Drosophila melanogaster: one gene and its partner. The protein of the gene in region 1 purifies or fractionates together with the protein of each later gene. This does not show direct contact. Each region holds a gene or a part of one and is shown on either strand. Other genes may lie near its edges. The genes, in order: vari and Fas3.

Evidence for each region.
Region 2: the proteins of vari (region 1) and Fas3 purify together in Drosophila melanogaster (affinity purification with western blotting, with the first as the bait; one study listed by BioGRID). This does not show direct contact.

Annotation. Positions count from the first base shown.
Region 1 is NT_033779.5:20,793,900-20,799,090, reverse strand, and holds the start of vari (varicose), read left to right. Parts: upstream 1-2,048; 5' UTR 2,049-2,332; coding exon 2,333-2,438; intron 2,439-2,956; coding exon 2,957-3,054; intron 3,055-3,835; exon of another isoform or gene 3,836-4,083; intron 4,084-4,152; exon of another isoform or gene 4,153-4,285; intron 4,286-4,944; exon of another isoform or gene 4,945-5,031; intron 5,032-5,191.
Region 2 is NT_033779.5:18,318,083-18,323,292, forward strand, and holds the start of Fas3 (fasciclin 3), read left to right. Parts: upstream 1-2,019; 5' UTR 2,020-2,605; coding exon 2,606-2,648; intron 2,649-5,210. UniProt on the Drosophila melanogaster protein: Mediates cell adhesion in a Ca(2+)-independent manner. It plays a role in axon outgrowth, guidance and fasciculation of the developing nervous system. Function in neurons is essential for adult survival, and is important for climbing behavior and activity.

The DNA of each region.
Region 1 (5,191 bases):
TTGCGTATATTATTCGAATAGTCGTTTTTTTTCCCCCGATTTCGTCACAGTGCATTAATCAGCATTGTGTTACCCTTTGTTATATTGTTAAGGTGCAAATTTCAAATCCATATTTCTCCATGTATAAATATATATTTAAATTGCTCAATTCCCAGCTGAGTCTGCCAATAGGTTGAGTGTTATTTTATATCAAAGGGCATTCAATATAAAACAATTCAAAACGTATCTGGGCATTTATATATTTAAAAACTGCGTTTATTTATGAGGTTTATATAAAGAAACAGTTTAAGAATAGAAAAATGTAATAAACTTCTGTTACCATGCCGACCATTTGGCACTCATTTAACCACTGTGCCTCTAAAATCAAGGACTCTCGATGGCTGAGCTAAATTTTTTGCACATTTGCGGGTTTCTTGCGCACAATGGTCAAAGGGGCGCGAATCAAACGGGGGCCTTGACTTTTGCACTTTTGGCGAATTTTTTTTACAGCAGGACATACAGCAAATCGGACGGAGGATAAAACAAGAACCAAAAAGAAAGATACAAGGCACAAATACCGAAAGACAAGTAACTCACCACGACGGGGGGTGTCGCCGGAGGTGAAGGTGGATAAACAGGAATTTCTGCCTGTTCTGTTTTGATTTTTCGCTATCTCTCTCTTTCGCTCAGCTGCTTCTGCTTCTTCGGTTTGTTTATGTGTAATCCTTTTGTTTCTTTCGATTTTGGCGCGCAATTTTCCTTTTTTTTATTGCTATTGTTTTAGTTGTTGCTAATTACTAATTTGCAATGCAATTTTTCAAAACACGCGAAGCCGTTTTGTTGTGGCCGTTGTTATTGTTGCGTTGGCCGTGTGATTGCGGTTATAGTTGTCGTTGCGTTGTTGTTGGTTGTTGCTAGTTGCTGTTGTTGCTTTTGCAACTTTTTCACAATTTGCATTTCACGTATTTTTGCAGCAGCTTCGACGACTTTGACTTTGTTGCACAAACACAGGCGGAAAAACGGCCACACACTAACGAACTGAAAACAACAAAACAATCCGAGGAAGCTGCTGGCGTCTCTTTTCCTTCGATTTTTTCCCAAGATTGCCAATCCGATTTTACTGCCTGATTTAGTGTACTTTCGCGAATCTATAGTTATTTCCGCAGCCAGTCATTCAAAAACGAAAATGTAAACGAAACAGTGGGTTTACATTAATATATCATCACATAAATATGGGTTTTTTTGAATCCCAAAAGCATCTCGTGTTACTTAGCGCGACAAATCGGTTTCCGACGTATACTCGTTCGCTGAGATGTTATTCCACAGTGGTATTTAATTTGTTTTTACTCTTCATGCGAGGAAAGCACCGTACGCGCACGCTGCTCAAAACGGAATGAAAACAAGAGCTGTCGCATCGTTTCAGCCGAAAAATACCGAAGCATGCTGAAACTTCGAAAAATACCGCAAGCGAGAAACGATGTTTTTTCATCTATGGCAAGTCGACGTCTATTACCCTTTCGATTAATAGAAATAAAATATTGCATATTTATTGAAGTAACGAAGTTTGTTGCATCCCAGAGTTTTGTTAAGGCATAAATAAAGTTCCATAAGCAATTTAAAGACTATTTAATTAAATTGATTTCTAATTGGCATATGAACGAACATTTATTGGTCGTCCAGTTTAGAGTACATATTTATGTACAAATCGAAGTAAATTTTTTATAATATTAACGCACGGTTTATCAATGGCACAAACCATCAGCGATTCCCAAGCCATCCATTTTTAGCTATGTTATAGCTATAGAAAAAGCAATCACAAGCAAAATTAAAGATAATAAACAATATTAAATTTAAATGGCCTGAGAACAGTGGAATGCATTTTTATGACAGGCTTTCGAACTCCGTACATAAAGTACATTTACCGTACCGACCCAACAAAGAAGTGGCGCCGATAAGCACAATATTTAAAAACCGATAGGCACACGTTATTTGACTTTTTGTCTGCAAAAGCTTTCTCGTTTTAAGGAGCTTTGATTTTGGCATCACCTGCAACAAAAGCGGTTTTCAGTTTAGTTAGCCTCTTTCTCACAAACAAGTCGGTTGTTTTTGCGCTGTTGGAGGAGTGAAATTCTTAGCCGCGCTATTGTTTTTGTTGTTTGCGTGGCGTTGTGTTTATAACAATAACAACAAGTGATTATCACTGGAAGACATGTTCTGTTCAAGTAGCTAAGCATATGGCTGGCTAAGAAAAAAAACACAAGGGTTATAACCCTTTTTTGGCCGAAATACGAGACTGTCCTCCGGGGTTACTTCATTCGGTCTGTTATTTTGGCCACCTCCCAGTTCCTTCAAAATGGTTCGGTGGAGCGCGCGGTCGCGGCGCCAAGCTCGCCAGGATAAAGTGGAGCTATTGGCCAGAAACAACAAAGTGAATGGCGAGGACGATACCTCCGATAACGGTACGTGCCAGGGGTGTCCTCAAAAGGAGAATTTTAAGCGAAGTTCATACGAAATTCCAAACTATCATTTTATTGTTGTTTCTTTTTCCTTTAAGGCTCTGTTAATAAAGTTTTAATTTTGAAGATTTCAGTTGTTTAAATAGTTAAAAGATTTACAAACTAAATATTTCAATTCATATTCAAAAAGTGAAACGAGACAAGAGTTATGTTGCATTTCAGTAAGCCTGCTTGAAGTAAATATAATGATTTGTACTCATAGCTAAGAATAATCTGAAACCTGTTTGAAGATATGCGGTCTTTAAATGTATTTACAATAAATCGATAACAAAGAATATGATTATAAAACGAAAAATCAGATGCATGTATATCTAAATATTTCCCTCTAGAATTCCATCATTGTATGAATTGTATGAATTGAAAAGGGTAGCATTAAGCTGCCAAAACGAATGTCATTTCATCTGTTTCCGATTGTCATTTAACGACTGCGATTAATCTAAAACACTTTCGCTCCGTTTTAGCCGCCTTTCGCAACTCGACTGACCTATCCGACCACGATGAGATCTTCCTCAAGGGATTGCTGCGTAGTAACTCCAACACGCCCCACAAGGAACTGATGGCAAGTAGACCAGAACATATAAACGTAAAAAGGCGAGAGAAAATATCTCTGTACAATTTCTGACCCACTTAAACGCCTTCGAGCATCTGCTCAATAAGAAAATTGCGCATACGGTTTTCCACCCATTTTCCATACCCAGCCACACACACGCACACACTTTCCACATTTGTGTTTACTTCATCGATGGCATTGCATGCTGATTTTTCGGTCTAGATAGAATTTTCCGGGCTGCTTGTATGTGCGTGTGTTTGCTTTTCTTATTACATCATTTTCCTTGCCTCCACAAGCGCCAAAAAGAAAAGAAAATCCTTCTGTATTTTAAAAGATTTTCTCGCTTTAGCCATGCACTGCAATTGTTTTTTTTTTTTTTTTTGACTTCGTAATGGCCCATTAGCACTTGCTATTTTATTTTTGCCTTCCTCTTTTGAGTTTTCGCACTAAACTTGACCTCTATTGCCTCGGCAGATGAGTTGCCTTTATGCAGATGGGAGGCATTTTATTAGATCATCGTGACATAACCATTGAAGTGGAAATTATCTTGACCCGACACATTTAGCGCCTCCTCGAAGGTTTCTTACGGTAAAAGAACTGCCAAAAAGTTTGTAGCCTAATCAAATTGTAAATATTATTTGCTGTTCCTGCGGCAAACACGCAGGTCAACTAGAAAAACAATGAGAGGCAGTTACAACCAAAATTAAAACGAATTTGTTGTGCTCTGTATACAAGAAAAATAACAAAATATTTTAATTAATTTTTAAAAATTAATTTTCAAAATTGAAGATGCCCTTTCTAAGATGTAAAGTTATTCTGTTGGCGAATAATAAAGAAGTGGGGAATTAAATAGTATGTAAAAAATAGGCGTAAAACAATGATTATTAAGACCCAAACTAGCAGTACGGAAAAGCCAAATACAACAAATATTATGGAAAGCGACATCGTGTGACGACGACCATAATTAGAATCCAACATTTTCCGAGGCATTTTCCTGGGCAGGCTCATTCGTTTGTGGTTTTCTGCTGTGGTCGGCGGCTGTTGAGAAAGGCAGTGAAAGTAATTAAGCCACGAGTCACGAGATAAGAAAATATGAAATGTCACTACCAGCTCCCCTGTTTTCCTTTCCCCAACTCGCCTGTCGTCACCGCTCCTTGGAACACTCCCCCATTTTATGCAGATTACATAAAACTCGACGCAAGTCGCCGTGCCAACTCTTTGACATCAACGCCCCAAAGAAGTTGTGTGTATTTGAGTGTGAATAAGGAAACCGGTTTGGAAACATTTTCCAACGTAAACACTACGCTTTTTATGCTACCTGCGCTCGAAAACGATGCACAAAAAGCGCCCAGCTCGTTGGCCTACTAATGCAGCTGTGGTCGGGAGATCGAAAAAGCTTGCTATAAGATGCTGTTAAGATCACTGAAGTAGTTGGTAAAAACATTGCAAAGCATGTTATAGCCAAACTTACTTATTTAAGGTTCTGTTTTACTGAACAAAGTATAAAGCTAGTTAAATAAATATGTTTCAGCAACATTTGAATTATAATATTTGGAAAGCTAAGATCAGATTATTTAATTTCAGTATAACATTTAACAGAACATTTTAATGTTGGTTATTGTTATATTTTAGATATACCCCAAGTATGTACATATTTGTATTTTAAAAAGTTTTCTACAGTTTCAAATGGTTTTCATTAACAGAAAGAGAGGGCGCGTCACTGCTGGTTTTAAGTCACTGTTAAGTACAAGCTAACATGTGGATAACAGACTGCGTACAGTTGTAACTTGGCTCACGCGGAGCTTTTTTCACGGCAAGCCAGCGGCAAGCGAACTGAGCAGCAAACAAAGCTAGCCCTAACTTGCTCACTAGCTCTCGCCGCTTGCTTCCATAGCTCGTGAGTCAGTTAGTTGCGAACAGTGCTAAGGTGAGGTTCACATTCCGGTTTGAAACGCGCGCTTCGTTGGTTTCGGCCCATTCGAATGAGTGAGCATTGGTGCCTGACTGTAGTATAGGTGTTTTCACGGTGGTGTTTGTGAGCGTGGCTTAAACGGGCGGCTTGAAACCGAAAAGCAACAGTTAGTTGGTGCTCTCTCTGCCCTCTCTCTTTCGAATTCAACAATGTTCATAAACCATTTTCCGTGTG
Region 2 (5,210 bases), 2.5 Mb from region 1:
AGTTCGAAAACATCAACATTTATGCAGCTATATTTCTCTAGTCCACGCGACCCTATTTTCATCCAATAGGGTGTGCAATTTCTATGCATTTTTCATGGCTTACCTTTTCATAGTCCAAATATGGCCCCAGGCTTATTGAATGTGTGTGCTTTGATTAAATTTAAAATGTTTGATAATACTATTTGCTGCCTGGTTTTCGGGGGCAAACAGGGAGTGCACGATGGCAAGTGTAATAATGCAGAAGTAAATACATTATGGGGCAATGAATCGAAAATGGAAATCGCACAGGGTGAGGGTGCGAAAATACGGGTCACTTTAAATATTTCCAAGCTTATAGTTGTCCGGCGATGCGGCATTTCAGAGTTCCACAGGTACAGTACACTGTATCTCAATATTGATACACAAGTAATTTCGTACAATAATTTAGTTAAAGCAATATGTAAGGCTCTATAATTATTATGTAAGCTGTACGATCGCTCTATTTGGTAGCCATTACAAACTTCCTAAGTACTGCGTAGCTTACTATTTACTGTTCTCGCCATAAATCGAGCCTGCGTTTACATCATTCTAATCGAAGTGGGTTTCAGGTCACAGTCCCATTGCGGGCGATTCTGGGGATCTGGAACTGTGGCAAACACAGCGGAATATTTGCGGAAGAGGGAGCGGGAAACTGGGAACGGGAATCGGCAACCAGAACGAGGAGCCACTGTGCCAAAGATTCGCTCTCGGTCGGAATTTGTATGTGTGCCATTCGACAACACGACAGGCAAACAAAAGCCGGCGAAATCCAAGGAGGCGGCCGGCAAGGGGGTAGATTATCAAACGACAAATAGACAGAAATCCGGCAGTTGCAGCAGCAACGGCGACAGCCTGAAAGCAAACTTGGCCAAATCAACAACAACACCAACAATACCAGCAATAACAACAAGAGCGAAAGCTGCAACAACACAATGCACAAGAGCCAAACAAATTCAAATCAAACTAAACAACAAGAACAGCGGCGGCAGAAAGTATTACACTGTATGGAGTGCCCGTTTAAATTCTATTTACTTGCAACACATGTTTATGTCGATCCGAAATAATGTTTCTTTGTCCATCTAATTTATATTTATTGATTTGCCTAACCTTAACCAATTGGGTCGTAGCAAATTATCACGCGGTTTAAAAAAAAACATGCTTTCGGAACTTTGGGCCATTGATTCTACTGTTAAATGTACTTTTCATCTATTTAACATTAGATATTAAAAAATGGTATTAGGAATAAATCAATCCATTTGTGGGTCAAATACGACCTATTAACGGCTTCTAACTTGTAGATATTAGGTAAATAAATACTGTACAAACCCATACTCATAATATTTAAATTAGCACCATGCTAAGAAACTTTATTTGAACTCCAGTTATGACGCAAAGGAAAATAGAACACGTTAGTCACCTAAATTTTTCCACCTAAATAGATGTGTCATCAAAACCGGAGATGCAGGCTAAGCTCTAATGAGTTTGTTATTTTCAACAATTCACTTTACATTTTAAATTATAAGCAACAAAATACATATTTATTAGTGGAGCACACTGCAAAGACTGTTTTGCTAGGTAAACGTTGATTAAAAGATTATAAATTCCTAGCACCCACCCAATTCCCTGTGACCTAAATAATAATTGTAAAAATAAATTATAAAAAACTGCAGCTGCTATAAATTGAAACCATTATTTTTAGGTAGTGTGTTCAAGTCCATATACCCCCGTAATTTAAAAGTACCCTGTACACACAGTCGCTGTAAAGCGTAAACTAGAACGAGCAATGCTGCTAGCTCGTCGCGCATGTAGCGGCAGCAACATGCAGCCGCAACATCGACAAACGCCAGCAACATCCAGCGGCAACATGCAACCCCAGCGACTGCATATGTAAAAACGCATACGCCTGGTGTTCGCAGCATGCTGCCGCTGTCGCTGCCGCAGCTGGCGCCGACGTCGCGGCCGCTGCGCTGCCCATGTTGGCAACTTTATAAACACGGAGCGGATTCAGTCGTTTGGTAACTGTTGCTCCTATCAGTCGTTCTCTGTCGCTCTTGGATTGCGTGGGCACATCGGTCGTTCGGCATTTTGGGTTCGGCATTTCGGGATTTGATATCGTTATTCGTGTCGGAATCGTATAAACCTGCGTCCGTGTGCGTTAGCCGGCCATTGAGCACTATCGCTGCCACTGGCATTTGGCCCACCGTGTGTGTTTACAAGTGTGGCATAATCTTCGATTAGCGCAAACCAACCGATCGGATATACCCCTTGAAAATAACAAATAATAGCGAGGAGTTAAAAAAGCATCCAAACACACACTGCACACCCCAAAACACACACACACACCCACACGTCACATAAAAAATATAAACCAGAGCCTCAGCGGCCGTAAAGTGCCACCAAAACGTACTTGGCCGTATATTTTATGCATGAAAAGCTAAAGCAAGTGCAACCAAACGCCTGAGTGACACCAAGAAAAAAAATTCATACACACATATAAGGAAACCCAAAAAAACAAAACCGGGATTACTTATACGCTCACGCTCAGTAGAAAAAATACGCGAAGCCAAAGGAAGTCAGCAGCAAAATCATGTCACGGATCGTTTTTATATGTCTCGCAGCCATCTTAACAGGTAAGAATAAACAACGGCTCAGAGGAAAGTAAAGCCAAAGTCGCGCTCATGAGATGATATCACGCGCTCGTTTAAGACCCGCGCAAATGTGTGAAAAAGTTTAGCTTACTCTCAGATACCTATGTATATGAATAAAAAGATGCTACCCAAAAACGTGTTCTCACCTCGAGCTGTATAAAAATATCATTGTTGAACGGCAAACTTGATTGATGAGAAGACATCGCCCCGCGGGGCTGTGGAAAGTGTTGTCTTTATGAAAGTGATGATTGAGTGAAAAGTTCCCTGTCATAATATCCATGAAATTGATAGTTCCTCCTCTTTTGGCGGTTGACCCGGTTTGGTCCATAGCTCCAACTGCGCATGCTCAGAGTGTGACCGAAGCTGTTTTGAATCTGTGTCCGTGCCAAGTGTGACCTTTCGCATCTTGGGGTACAGCTGGCATTTGCCATGCGCCAGCACAGGTTGAAAAGGTCAATTACACTTTGGTCTTCTATGGTGAGTCCAACCAAATTGGGCTTGCCCGAAAGATCTTCGCCGCAGATGATTCACGGATCGTTTATTTTAATTAATCGGTTTAGTAGCTGTTTTAATGGATTTTCTTTGGTTTTGTGTTCATACGTGATAGGGTTTGATAGCTTTGTGTGCCCATAAGAGGTTTGCTTGGTTTTATGACAGTATTAGACTGTTTAATAGTTGTACTTTATTGGAACCGACTTGTGATCAATAATGTGTTTTTGAAATGTATTTTGCCTTGGAATATAATTTTGTACTATATCAATACTAGTTTCCATATTTTAGCATTGGCCCCCAATAATGTAGAATCTAAAAAAAACCTTGTAGATGGTAATACGTCTCAATATTCGCTCCACTGTAATTAGTCTTTATTTGGCTCCTTTTTTAATTTATTCTAAGTGCCGCATCTTGTGCCAGCATGCATCCTTGAAATTAGGAGACAACATCAGCATCCACTTGAGCATTACTTTCATCTCTTTGTACCACGTACGAATGCGGATATAAATTCTATGCCATCATCAAGGCCCAAAAACGCTGTCGGTTCTATTTAATTAAAATCCTTCAATGTTTCAGCCGTGCTTATTATATTGTACCCTCTTATTACGTCCTTGAAGAGCGAGAAGGATATATGGGTGCAGAGCTAGCTGGGGAAACTGAGACAGATTTCTCATTAGCTGAAAAGAAGATGCTGGTTTATGCCAAAGCCTAACAACATTAACACAACACACGGCACATGAAGCTGTTGCTTTTGCAGTTGCCTCATTACTGCCACAGCCCCTCGGCAGATTCAACCGCCCAATGGTAAAGCCACCCCCCCCCCCACAGAACCACCCACATGACGTGACTTTAAGACAGCCGCGTTTTATTCAGTTGCTAAGCCTGCCTGGAACCTTTCAAAGGTTTACGAAAATGTAAATGCAAAAACTGCACACAAAAAACCAAAATAAAGTACACCAGGAAATCCACTGCAGGTTCAACCCTTCTCCCTATCTCTTTCCGCTGTCCAGTTGCCGTCTTTTTCTAGCAGGGCTTTGCCACTTCACACTGAATACTTTTACATTTTTATAGGACTGACGCATCGCAGACATCGCATCAGTTGACTGCCGGCTGGCTGTTGTCTTGCAATTATAAATGTTTAATGCAGCTCCGGCCATGGCACCATGGACCGTTTTTTCAGACGGGCATGGGCCGGAAATTTAACTATCCGACCCAAAGGATACGCTTAAGCGTGCAAAAAAGGACAAGAGTCTCAATAGTATTTAACAATATTCTATGGGAATTGAATTTCTTGTGGTAATAGTGTTTATTAACATGCGAATATTGCCAAACGATTTATTTATCGCCACTGTTTCTGGATACTCTCCAAATGTACTTAAACTTTAAATTACTACCCCTTGAGATAACTATCCGCTTTTTTTTAAATAAAAATAAACTCTCCATGGCATACTCCACTTTCGGAACTATATATGTATATGACCAGAACCCACATAAAAATCAACCACAATTTCCTTTGCAAACTTCCCATTCAATTTTATGGACGCTCTTTGTGCAAGGATATAAAAAAGGGATGAAGGAGACACGAACTGCAACATGTGCAGCATGTAAATAAGGCATTGCATCCAAAAACCATTCACAGTAATTCAAATGGCCAAAAGGAGCTGCAGTCGTGACGTATTTAGTTATGACTGCCTCATCTAGGAGCGAACAAAAAGCGGTCCAGCATTTATGCATTTTAATGGCCACCAATTGAGGCATGTTCTATGCTATATTTTGTACATACATATATCTACATACATATATGCCATCTGGTATGGTCACAAAAAAGATCCAGGCATTGAATTAAATACGTGCAGTGTTTGCCCAGTTTGCCGCTTCTAAATGTGACTCGTCGGACAGTGACTGTTACTGCGAACTGTGACTACTGCACCTATATCTATTCCTTTTGGTTTTTTGGCAATCCAATTCATACCACCCACTCCCGCCCATGACATACATAATTTTCAACTCTTTTTCTACCTATGGTAATTGCAATGGGAATCGCAGAGAAGG